2 linked regions of the Oryctolagus cuniculus genome follow. The protein of the gene in region 1 interacts with the protein of each later gene in a biochemical or structural test. Links are inferred from orthologs where the notes say so. Each region holds a gene or a part of one and is shown on either strand. Other genes may lie near its edges.

The links.
Region 2: the proteins of MYLIP (region 1) and CNPY2 form a complex in vitro, tested with the Homo sapiens proteins (2 studies listed by BioGRID). The link is inferred for Oryctolagus cuniculus from reciprocal best matches to the Homo sapiens genes MYLIP and CNPY2.

Annotation. Positions count from the first base shown.
Region 1 is NC_091436.1:143,408,069-143,414,096, forward strand, and holds the start of MYLIP (E3 ubiquitin-protein ligase MYLIP), read left to right. Parts: upstream 1-2,264; 5' UTR 2,265-2,486; coding exon 2,487-2,573; intron 2,574-3,591; coding exon 3,592-3,782; intron 3,783-6,028. UniProt on the Homo sapiens protein: E3 ubiquitin-protein ligase that mediates ubiquitination and subsequent proteasomal degradation of myosin regulatory light chain (MRLC), LDLR, VLDLR and LRP8. Activity depends on E2 enzymes of the UBE2D family.
Region 2 is NC_091442.1:59,130,119-59,136,502, reverse strand, and holds the start of CNPY2 (protein canopy homolog 2), read left to right. Parts: upstream 1-2,628; 5' UTR 2,629-2,831; exon of another isoform or gene 2,832-2,918; intron 2,919-3,209; exon of another isoform or gene 3,210-3,431; 5' UTR 3,432-3,456; coding exon 3,457-3,544; intron 3,545-3,649; coding exon 3,650-3,765; intron 3,766-5,466; coding exon 5,467-5,670; intron 5,671-5,832; coding exon 5,833-5,929; intron 5,930-6,275; coding exon 6,276-6,319; 3' UTR 6,320-6,384. Other genes in the region: PAN2-PAN3 deadenylation complex catalytic subunit PAN2, read left to right, coding at 1-65, 168-347, 463-556, 835-1,032, 1,382-1,416. UniProt on the Homo sapiens protein: Positive regulator of neurite outgrowth by stabilizing myosin regulatory light chain (MRLC). It prevents MIR-mediated MRLC ubiquitination and its subsequent proteasomal degradation.

The sequences.
Region 1 (6,028 bases):
ATGGTCATTTGGGGAGTGAATAAGTGGATGGAAGGTCTCTCTGTCTCTCCCTCTCTCTGTAATTCTGCCTTTCAAATAAATAAATAAATCTTAAAAATAAATCCCTGTCAATCTTAGTGCTCCAACTATTTTGTAAGTGATGATTGTTAAAAATAAATACAAAACAAATATTAAATAAATAAAACCTACTGGACTTTCCCTGTGCTTTTGCAAACTATTTTAACCTGTTTACATTAAAAAATATACATATGGAATCATACTTGCAAAAAACAAAAAGAAATGTTCCTGCCAAAACCAACAATATAGTTATGATTCAAGTAGTTCACAAACTGGGTATTTGATTTTGGTTTCTGCTTGCTTTGTTTTTGTTTACTTTTGTTCTTGGCCAACCAATATTTTCTCTTTCTCTTTCTATTCCTTTTCATGCATGGTCTCCACTAATTGTCTGAGTTTCTGAAATTCGCCATCTGATACCCCCTTTAATTTAAGTGAGTCAGCCTGGCTTTCTGATGTTCATATACAAAACTTGTAACCAGTACACTGGTTTCCATATTGCCTGTCGCCTCTTCTTCCTGTTCTGACATTTCTAGCCATTGAGCAGAGATTAGATAACAAAGATCCACATCTTAACTCCCAGATAAATATCCCGAGGTCAGCAAACTGGAATTAAGGGGATGAGGAACAGGAGTTGATGCATGAAGGGAGTATTTCAGGAGCACACTGTCAGGAAGAGGTGCCTATGTCAGACACACAGAGAGGACACATGCACGTGTCTCCACGTGCAACACCAAAGGCCCATTACAGTTTCTTCTTTTTCCCCCTAAGATTTATTTATTTATTTGAAAGGTAGCGTTACAGAGAAAGGCGGAGAGACACAGAGCTCAGAGGGCCACGACAGTCTAGGCCAGGAGCCTGAAACTCCATCCAGGTCTCCCACACGGGTGGCAAGGCCCAGGCACTTGAGCCATCTTCTGCTGCTTGCCCAGGTGCATGAGCAGGGAGCTGGCTGGGAAGTGGAGCAGTGAGGCTGGCAGCAGCTTAACTTGCTGTGTCACAACGCTGGCCCCTAGTCCAGTTTGTGCCCCTTTCGGTGAGGGCCTGTGGTAGGCTCCCTCTCTTTTGCTTTCTGCTCTGCTGCCTTTCCTACAACAGAAATCAAGCGACCTGGCACAGAGATTCACCCGAAAAGAGGTAGGAACGGGAGCCATCATTAGCAGGCAGTGACCGGGGCGGACATGACAGCTCTGGCATTAAACACAAGGACACAAATGCTGTCATGGATGGTCTCCCCTTGGCTGCTCTGGCGGCCCATAGAACAGATGTCTTGGGCTCCACCCTAGCAGCAGTTGGCAACACTGGGCCTCAGAGAGAAGTAAAATTTCCAAAGGCCTGGGGCTCCTCCTGCAAAGAAACCCGAGATGTGGGTTGAGTAATGCACTGGTAAGCAGGAATAAACAGTAACTGAGTGAAGAGCTGTGGAGTTCCAGTTGCTAAATAGCTACTACGGAACAGGGAACATGACGGCGGGGTGGGGTGGGGGGTCCCCGATGCAGCAGGGGCTCCCTGAATGCTGGCTGACTGAGCCGAGGTAAGACCTGAGACGGGATGGGCAGCCTGAGAGAAGGCCTGGGGCCCCGTGACGGGGGGCTTTCATTCGGCAGGGCTCAGCCAACAGAAGCCCCTAGAGAGGGCCGACCCTCATCTGCGAGCGGCTGCAAGGCGCTCTGACATTCAGTCGCTGTTATTTCGGAGCCAGGGTCTACACGAAGGGACCGCCTGGGTTGCCGTCCCCAACCAGACACGGAGGCAAACCCGGAGGGGGCGGGTAGGCGTCCGTGGGCTCCGCGGGGGCTCCTCTTCTTTTTAGGCTTTCGCGACCCAAACGCCCTCCTGGAGGGACCCCATGTTTCAGGGGCAGCTTGGAGGCGTTTAGTCCTCTCACTGTCGAGCCCCCGACAGGGAGACGTCGCCGCCAGCAGCCCGAGGCGACCGCTCGCGAGGAGCAGCGTCGCCCAGCGGGCACAGGCACCGGGTGTTCTCCGGGCCCCCCCAACCCCTTCGCGGCTCCAGGCGCCCGCCAGCGGCCGCCTCCCGCAGCGGCACGGGGAACTCAGGCGGCGCTGGTGGCCGGGGCCGCCCGAGCGGGCTCCCCGATTGGCTGATGGGGCGGCGGGAGGAGGGGCAGGGGCGCCGCGATTGGCCGGGTCCCGAGCCGGAGGGGGCGGAGCCGCTATATCAGGGGAGCGCCTGTCGCGGCGCAGGCAGTTGGCTGCTGGAGTGCGGCGTCGCCGCGGAGTGCCCGGGGGCCGGCAGGGCGGGCGGGCTGGCGGGCGAGGGGGTGGCGGGGACGGAGCTGCGGCCGCGGGCGTCTGTCTGCAGCCCTCGCCGAGCCCGGGGCTGGGTTCGAGCTTTGGCGAGGCGGTAGCCCCGCGTACACCAAAGAGGAGGTGGCTGAGGTGGCCGTGGCGGCAGCGGCGGCCCCAGCCATGCTGTGCTATGTGACGAGGCCGGACGCGGTGCTGATGGAGGTGGAGGTGGAGGCGAAAGCCAACGGCGAGGACTGCCTCAATCAGGTGAGAGCGAGCACCCAGGTCCGGGCCCACGTCGGTCTCCAGAGGCCGACGGGCCTCGAAGGCGGCCGGGCGCCTCAGGGAGCGCGCCCCAGGCAGGCACCGGGCCCCGCACCCCGATCCCGCTGCGGGCGTGCGGCGCGCGACCCCCTCCCGGGCGCGCTGGCGGGGTGCGGAGGATGCGCGCTGCGGGGGCCCCTGGCGCGGGGGCGCGGGCAGAGCCCGGAGCGCAGCCCAGCCCCCCCGCAAGCCGGCACTTTGCCAGAGCCAGGCGGCCCAGCACACTTGCCTCAGGTGTGTGTGCGTGACGCCGCCGGTGGGGTCCCTGCAGTGCCACCCACGTCCCAAAAAGGAGTGAGTGGACGCGGTCTCGGGCCCAGGGTGCCTTGGCAGGCAAGCTTGGCCCTTGTCCCGTGCCGCGTTTCCAGCGGAGCACTCACCTGCATCTTCGGATTTGCGGGCGGGGGCAGAGGTACTGTAGTTGTGGGTGCACCTGCTTGGCTGCCTTGAAGCCCGCGTTTCCTTCCAGAGCGAAGGGGGAACCGAGCTGGTTCGGCAGGCAGCAGGTCTGATCCCAGGGGACGCTGTGCTCCCACGCCGTGTAGACAGGAGAGGTTTGGAGAACCTCGTGTGACGCACAGCTGACACTTGTGGCGGGTCTCGCGTGCGTGCGTGCGTGTGTGTGTGTGTTTGGAGTCCAGGTGGTTAACACTACCCAGATAATAGCTGTCGGAGCAGCTCTGTGGATTGTGCTGGTACCGGGCATCGTAGTGACTGGAGTCAGAAGGAAGAGACCCTGAAGATGCCCCTGCTCTTGAGCACTGCTCTTTCTGGGCTGCTGTGGGCATGCCCTAGATATTGAGGGAGGGAGGGACAGGTCTCCGTCCTGGAGCCAGCGGTTAGCGTCGCAGCACCGGTGGGTTTTGGCAGAACTGTAGCAGTCTTCAGCTCCAGAGAGCCCCGGGTTCCTTTGACCCCATGTCCCGTTTGCTCATCCGTGCCGCCTTTGTTTTGACTTCAGGTGTGCAGGCGACTGGGAATCATAGAAGTTGACTATTTTGGACTGCAGTTTACCGGTAGCAAAGGTGAAAGTTTATGGCTAAACCTGAGAAACCGGATCTCCCAGCAGATGGACGGGCTGGCCCCTTACCGGCTTAAACTCAGAGTCAAGTTCTTCGTGGAGCCTCATCTCATCTTACAGGAGCAGACGAGGTAAAGCGGCACTCAGATAGACCCTTGTCAGATGCACCTTAGATTCTGTTTAGGGGGCGCCGGAGCAGCCTCCCCGGGGTGTTCACAGGCAAATTTGGTGCGGTGAATGCCTTCCTTACCCACGTTCTGCAGGGCACAGCCCTTTGGTTGAAGAGGGAGCCACATAGTTGGCCTGGGCGCATTTTGCAGCTCCTGTTTTTATAAACTTAATGGGAGAGCTGGGTAGAATTCCCACAAACCCTTGAGATTGTTGTCACATGGGGGAAAAAAAAAGAACCAGCCAGAGAAACACCAAACTGCCTACTTCCTGACAGCAGCATCCAATGGCCGATAGTAACCTCTGCCTCGGCAGTGTTACTGTAGGTCACTGTGGACGTTCTAACAGAAAGCAGGAAACAGTTCCTCTTGGGTTACTTAAACTTGGTCAGCTTCGGCCAGTGTCAGATTACAGTGTGTAGCAGAGAACTCTGTCAGGCTTTGTGCAGAATTTTTGAAGTTTTTAGTTTCTTGAAAACTTAATAAGAGCACTCTTTTAAGGCTACTGTAACTGAATCCTAACCCACAAATACATTGCACACGATTGGGGAGTCTCTCTCTGCCTTGTGAAAATCCACCACTAGTGGTAGACAACTGAAGCAAATGATCTTTTTTAAACAAAAATGTGTTCTCTCTGGCACTGACTTAGTACTTTTCTCAAGGGTGAGTGAAACTAGGAAAGTTATGTTTAATATTTATGGCTAAAATGCAAGACTTCAGTCTTACTAAAGCAGTCAAAAAGAAAAAAAACGAAAATGGCTACTTTTAAAAACAGCAAACTTGGATCTAAGCTGTAATGTTTTTCATAATCCTTTGCCTTGGAAATCTGCCATGCATGTGAAAAATGTGATTCTGAAAATTTTGAATAATGATGAGTGAGCAATATTCTTTAAAGATTTTTTTTTGGTTTGTTTATCAGAGAGCTGATAGAAATACATTTTGAAATAGTATTTATTTGAGTTTGAAATTTCCACTTTGTTTTTTTATAAAACTCAAAATGTTGAGGAAAATGTTTTATTTCTGAAGGAAGCAGTTATACTGAATTTTTAGTGCTCTTGAAAATATCTTGCAAAATATTCAAGTGACAGCATGCTTAAGGAAGTTATAGCTGTCTATGTTAATCAAAATGGGCTTTTTTTCTTTAAACTAATTTTTGAAAGCTTCTGCTTTGCACTTCACTGCCGTAACTCACAGTAGAATAAAAGACAAAGTATATATAACAAAGCATAGTGGAATTTTCATTACATAGTCTTATGATTTTTCAGTTATTTCGGGCTACCAGATACAACCCAATTTAAATGTTTTAAATCTGCACACATTTAGAGGGCCAAATACTTCATTTAAACAATGAAAGTGATGGTAGAATAATATATTTGTAGTGTGAATGCATTCAGACTTTGTAGCTAATGACTAGATGATCACTACCTGTGTTTTCCTGTAATTGGGTTAATAACTTGTGTCAAATCCATTTTATTCATGCCGGAAATGGAGGCATTTTATAAATTAGAACCTGAACAAATTTATTATCTTGGTTTTTCCTTTCTTGACTCAATTGACTTTAACCCTTGAGATTCGTGGCTAACAGCACCCCTACATACCTACTTCAGCCAGATAATCTTACCTGATTTTTGAAAGCAGTTTGATTGTAGGCTAGTCCAAACTTTTGACTGGCTTATGATAGCATTGGTAAATTCTATTTGTTTTCATGGGGTTGGCTGAAATATCAGACTTAGTGGGAAAATGCCACCTACGGTTTATAAAGCATTCTGCTTCAGTAACTAGATAAAGTGTTATTAGCATTTGTACCTGTAAATGAGTACATCCGGATTTGAATGCGTCCAGTTTACACTTAACATTGTTTTTATGTGCATAATACTATCAAACAACATAGCAAAATAAAGCTGGCTGACGAACTTTTGGATGTCTGATGATCTGTGAATATACAGTAGATCTGTTTATGTAGTGAGTAAGCCCCGCTTTGACAATCTGGTTATAAGAGGTGATTTTCTACTAAGTCAAGCCATGAGGGTGCATTTAGTGTACTGCAAGTGTCTGGACCTCTCATTAAGTGGTGCTGAAGTGTCCTGGCAGAGTCATCTTCTGTGGACAATTAAAGCAGCCTGCTCGTGGTGGAGCTGGCCTGTGAGCAGTTAACGTACTAGTTCGCGTCAATTAGAGGGCCCACTGGGAAGAGTGACGGCCAGGAAGGC
Region 2 (6,384 bases), on another chromosome or scaffold:
TTCGGGGCCAGGGACCAAATGAGGGTATCCCCTTCATTGATGACTACATCTCTACCCAGGAGCAGGTATTACTGTAGGTGTGCGAGTGAGGCAGACCCTGTACTTGAGAACCCAGGGAAGAGTGGCAGGAGGAGACTCTGCGCCTCACTTCCTTTCTCTATTCCCAGGTCGTGGATTACTTGACTCAGTACTCGGGGATAAAGCCGGGAGACCTTGACGCCAAGATATCCTCCAAGCACCTCACAACCCTCAAGTCCACGTACTTGAAGCTTCGGTTTCTCATTGACATTGGCGTCAAGTTCGTGGGCCATGGCCTGCAGAAGGACTTCAGGGTCATCAACCTCATGGTTCGGGCAGGGACTCTTAGGAATCACCTTTGAGGGTGGGCCCCCAGGGTATACATTGTGCTTTTGGAGAATGGGAAATGAATCTTTAACTCTCCCACTGTTTTATTTCTGCCAGGTGCCCAAGGACCAAGTACTTGACACTGTGTACCTGTTCCACATGCCCCGAAAACGAATGATTTCCCTGCGATTCCTTGCATGGTACTTTCTGGGTGAGTTGCTCCATCTTGTAGACAGCGGAGGTGCTCATTAGAAATAGGAAAACTGCTGGAGGTCAAAGGGGAGTAGGGACAGCCCTGAATTAGCGATGAGATTGACCAAGGGATTTTTACAATTAGCGTCAGTATCTCCTCTACACTAGGGAAGGTGTTTGACTCTTTGCCTTATAGGTAATTTATTGTTTTCTTTGAGTCATAGGGTGGGAGTCGGGGGGATATGTCGCTACCTCCCTTTGCCTGGTCCCCAACTCTTCTGCCTTTACTCGCCCTAGACCTGAAGATTCAAGGGGAGACCCATGACAGTATTGAGGATGCCCGCACAGCTCTTCAGCTCTATCGAAAGTATCTGGAGCTAAGCAAGAACGGCACTGAGCCTGAATCCTTCCACAAGGTGCTCAAGGGCCTTTATGAGAAGGGCCGGAAGATGGACTGGAAGGTGCCTGAGCCAGAGGGCCAGACAAGTCCCAAGAGTAAGGCCTGGAATGGGAACAGGGAGACTGGCTCGGACAGGTTTTGATTGCATACATGGAGGTTATACCCACCACCACAACGATGTTGATGAGTGATGATAACAAGACCAATCTTACCCTATTTTTTGTAAAGTGATTAGCAATTACAATTGCACTTAATCCTCCTAACAGGCAGGGAAATTGTTTTTATTATTGAAACCCTGCATCAGTCCTATAATCTCCTCTTGCTGAATTCTGAAATGTTTGGGGAAGGTCCACGCCCGTTTTCTCGTCCATTTTCTTCACGAGAGGCGTCCAGGTGTTCTCTGCACTCGCCTAACAGTCGTGCTCTCGGTTTTGTCTCTGACAGACGCAGCGGTCTTCTCCTCAGTGCTGGCACTCTGACCTGCCCTCTCCCTTCAGTGCTCTGTAGCCCCAGAACTGGGAGATGGCTTCCCAAGTGGGTCCACTTCCAGAACGGGACCTGCTCAGTCTCCACAGATGGTGCTATTAATAGAACTGGAACTCAGAAAAATCGATGCAAAGGTTCTAGGAGCCGGATTCCTTCTTCATCCTTTGCAAAACAGCAGGCCAGATACAAAGTCTAGACCCAGACGGAAAGTAATTGGCATTCTTAATAAATACCCGGGGTGATTAGTATCTAGGCGGAGAAGGTTCTGGGACCAACACTCTCAGCTCCTAGCTGGCTGGGGACTGAAGTACTGGACAGTGACAAGAGGATATACTTAGTAGCTCAAGATTTAGCTCAAGTCTTCAATTGCTCAGGGGATGCCTGGAGGGATCATCATGTTGCAGCTTGGGGAATCAAGAAAACCACAGTTGCCAATACCATTGCCAAAAGGGACTTTGTTTCCTGGACAAAGCTTGGCTGCTGGCTCCATTCCTGCTGACAGCTGAGAAGCATCTGTCTTCCATCTTCTTTCCCGTCTCAAGTTTTGTTATTTTTTAAAAATTTATTTTAAGCCGCATGTTTTATAAAATAAAAACGAAAATATTGTCTAATCACCTGTCTCATTATAGAACTGCTTTTGTAGGGGTTCTGTGAAGCTCTATTATTATTTTTTGGTTTCTTATTAACACTCAGAAAACTAAAGTTGTGCTCAAATCCACATCCGGGAATGAAGGTAAAGCTTCGGGGTCCAAAGTTATGGATACGGGAGAAGTGAAATTACTCCCTTCCTGGACAACACTAGGTGTTTGCTGTAGATGCCCAGTACCCTAGGGTCAGACTGCTGTGAAGACACGTGGTATGGTTTGCGTAAGCCGCAAAACTACAAGTCCCAGGGCATCTGCTGACGCCAGCAGCTGCCGAAAGGGTCAGCTGGTGCTGCAGTGCGTTCTGGGAGATGTAGTTTCGAGGCGAGGTCGTCTGGCTGGCTAGCCGCAGCCCGGGGTTCTGAAGGCCCTAGCCCACCTAGAGCGATGCATCGCTCGCGCCTCACTGCTCCCGTGTAACACGCCGGGCTCCGTCCGCGCCTGGCGCCGCTCCTGTTCTGCTACCCGCCGGCGGCCAGTCACGTGGAGCCCTTCGCCACGCAAGTCTGGGTCCTTCTGCAAGCCACCGGGGTCCTCGCCACTTCAGTGCCGCTCCCACGTTGCCTGTTCGCGCGAGAGTTTGCAGGGGCGGGTTTAGGGTCGCTGTGTGGTGGGGGCTCGCCCGGCCACACAACCCGAGCCCCGCTTAGGCGCCCAGTTAGGGTGCAGGGAGCTGGGTCAGGCGGCTGCCTGGGCACCCCGTTTCTAGAAAGCACCGACGCGCTCTGGAGGATCACGGACAGCCCCGCTCCCCCCTCAGCCAGGTGCGAGGCTCGGGAGCCACCGAGGCCAAAGTGAGAGTCCGGCGATTTTGCAGCGCCTGGGCCACGGCGGCGGCCCTGGGAGCAGAGGTGGGACGCGTGCGGCGCTAAGGGCTGGGGACGGGCTGCAGCGAAAGCAATGGGGGAGCCCTCAGAAAGGGGGCTGGTCCACACGTGCAGTCCCTTGGAGGCTGGCGGAGGGCATGCGGGCATCTTCTGTGCAGGATCCTGTCAGGCCCTGGTTGTTGAGCGCTCTGCTCGCCGGCCGCCTGGCCTGACCGCAGGCCCCTCGCACGGTCACCGGCCTCCGTCCCGTAGCTGCCACATAGCCCTGTGAACCCTTGGCCGCTAATGGTAACGTACCAACACTTAGGGACTCACCTGCCCCTGAGCCCCAAGCCCTGCGCTCCGGAGGGGTCAGCCCTCAAGCGCCGGCGCAGAGGAGCTTCTTTGTGTCCCAGCCATTTCCTGGAAAGCAGTCAGAATGGCAGGAGGCTCTGGAAGGCCTTGGGATGGAGAGGTGGAGTGTGGGGGGTGCAGGGGAAGTAGAGTCGGTTCCTTACTCTGTTTTGTTTTTTTTTTTTTTCCCCCACCCAAATTCAGGTGGAGCAACCCCATTACGTTAAAGATGAAAGGCTGGGGTTGGCTGGCCCTGCTTCTTGGGGCCCTGCTGGGAACTGCCTGGGCTCGGAGGAGCCAGGATCTACACTGTGGAGGTAAAGAAAAGCACACAGAACATAAGAAGGGGGAGGGAGTGGACTCTGGGCAGGGCTCGAGACCCAAGGCCTGGGGGGAAATGAATGCGAATCCCTCTTACCCAGCTTGCAGGGCTCTGGTGGATGAACTCGAGTGGGAGATTGCCCAGGTGGACCCCAAGAAGACCATTCAGATGGGATCTTTCCGGATCAATCCAGACGGCAGCCAGTCGGTGGTGGAGGTAACTGTTAGTTCCCCCGGAGAGTTCACTCTGGCTTTGAATGAGAACGCAGCTCATTAAGACGGACTTTGGTTTTACAGAAATGAAGACTAACTCAGAGAGGTCCCTGGAAGATTGGGCTCTGTCTCATGAGGTTATCCCTTGTGTGCCTTCTTTCTGGCTCCAACCCCTAAATACTCTGTTTCTGTACAGAACTTGTCACTGGGAGCCCTGATCAGCCCTCTTCTTTATACATCTTTAATTCGTGTAACTCCTGTTTCCTCCCTAGCACTGGGATACATACAGACTTTCATTCAAAAAGAATAAAAGGTCTTATGCTTGTAATTAGGAAATTGATTTCAGCTGAAAATGTAACACACACAAAGCTGTACATAGTGAGCAATATGTAAACATTAAGGTTATGAAGCTTTTGGGTTTTTTTATGTACCTTTTTTTTAAAAAAAGATTTATTTACTCATTATTTGAAAGGCAGAGTTACAGAGAGACAGAGGCAGAGAAAGACAGAGAGGTGTCTTCCATCCGCTGGTTCACTCCCCAGTTGGTTGCAACAGCCAGAGCTGTGCCAATCCAAAGCCAGGAGCTTCCTCTGGGTCTCCCACGCAGGTGCAGGGGCCCAAGCACTTGAACCATCTTCTACTGTTTGCTCAGGCCACAGCAGAGAGCTGGATCAGAAGTGGACCAGCCAGGATTTGAACCAGCTCCCATATGGGATGCCAGCCCTGCAGGCGGCGGCTTCACATGCTATACCACACTGCTGGCCCCTGTGAAATTTTTTTTTTTTTTTTTGACAGGCAGAGTTAGAGAGGGACAAAGGTTTTCCTTCCGTTGGTTCACCCCCGAAATGGCTGCTACGGCTGGGGCACTGCGCTGATCTGAAGCCAGGAGCCAGGTGCTTCCTCCTGGTCTCCCATGCGGGTGCAGAGCCCAAGCACTTGGGCCGTTCTCCACTGCCTTCCCTGGCCACAGCAGAGAGCTGGACTGGAAGAGGAGCAACCGGGACAGAACCGGCACCCCAACCGGGACTAGAACCCCGGGTGCCGACGCCGCAGGCGGAGGATTAGCCTAGTGAGCCGCAGCACCGGCCGAATTGTTTTAATAGTTGTCATCCTCAAAGCCTGTTTTGCGTCTCTATTGCTGTCCTACTGAAAACAAATGTTGGTTTCATTCTAATACTAAAAAAAAATAAATAAATTATCAAGGAGTGATAAGAGGTGCTGAAGGTTGGGTTGGTACCCATGGTCAAAAATTTAATCAATCACACATAGATAATGAAGACTCCATAAAAAAAAACAAAAAGGACAGGGTTCAGAGAGCTTCTGGGTGGCTGGAGGATGGTGCTCAGGGCATGGAAGCTCTGTGCCTCTCTTCATCTGAAGCCTTTGTAATATTCTTTATAATAAGTTGGTAAACATGAGTATTGATCACCTACAGTCATAAGAATGAATTCAAAGGAAAAGAACACCATTGATCAGAGTTGATAATTTGGAGTTAATGCTACATGTCTTATTTGTGCCATGCAGTAAAGATAAAACCATATATTCAAAAGTACTTTGAAACTATACAAATATAGCCATACTGTGTTAGTTAGGGAAGGATTTTTAGAATAAGTTAGTTGAGCCAGAGTTGGAAGGAAGAGTAAGGATATAAATTACTAACGCGCAGACATAGGAGATAGTGACCGAAGGCTGAGGACTTTTCCAGGTGCCTTACGCCCGCTCCGAGGCCCACCTCACAGAGCTGCTTGAGGAAGTGTGTGACCGCATGAAGGAGTATGGGGAACAGATCGATCCTTCCACCCACCGCAAGAACTACGTGCGCGTGGTGGGCCGCAACGGAGAATCCAGCGAACTGGACCTGCAGGGCATCCGCATCGACTCGGATATCAGCGGCACCCTCAAGTTTGCGGTGAGCTCTGGCGCGGGGGTAACTCGTTCTTGGAAATCGGGAGGGCTGTTGGACGGCTCAAGTAGAAAGTTGGGTTAATGTCCTTGTCCTCGTCTCTGGAGGTAGAGGCAGGAGGCCTCTTCCTGCTGCCCTGTATCACTCGTCTCTCCTTTGGGTTGGCAGTGTGAGAGCATCGTGGAAGAATATGAGGATGAACTCATTGAATTCTTTTCCCGAGAGGCTGACAATGTTAAAGACAAACTTTGTAGTAAGCGAACAGGTAAGCTACTACCCATTTATCTCATGTTCTCACCGCCCTATGGAACCTAGCTACCTTCTCTTGGGAAACCTGATAATAGCCCAAGAGTTGGTTTCCATTTCCTTTGCCCCTTGGCTTAGGGACTAGGAGTGTTCCTCTCCATTCTCTGTCTGCTTTCAGATTGGAGATAGAAGCAGGGTGCGGGGCGGGGGTGGTGCAGAGGGGCATGTTTTGTCATTTCTAAGCATATGCTCTCAAGCATGGTGGTTGGTGTGTGCGTCAGTTTGGCTTACCGTATTTCCTTGTTAGTGGTGTGTGTCAGAATGAAAGTGGCGTTTCCCTTCCAATCGTTATGTACTGTTTGCAGATCTGTGTGACCATGCCCTGCACATATCTCACGATGAGCTATGAACCATTGGAGCAGCCCAGACTGACTTGATGGATCACCCCCAGGAGGGGAAGACGGTGGCATTGCC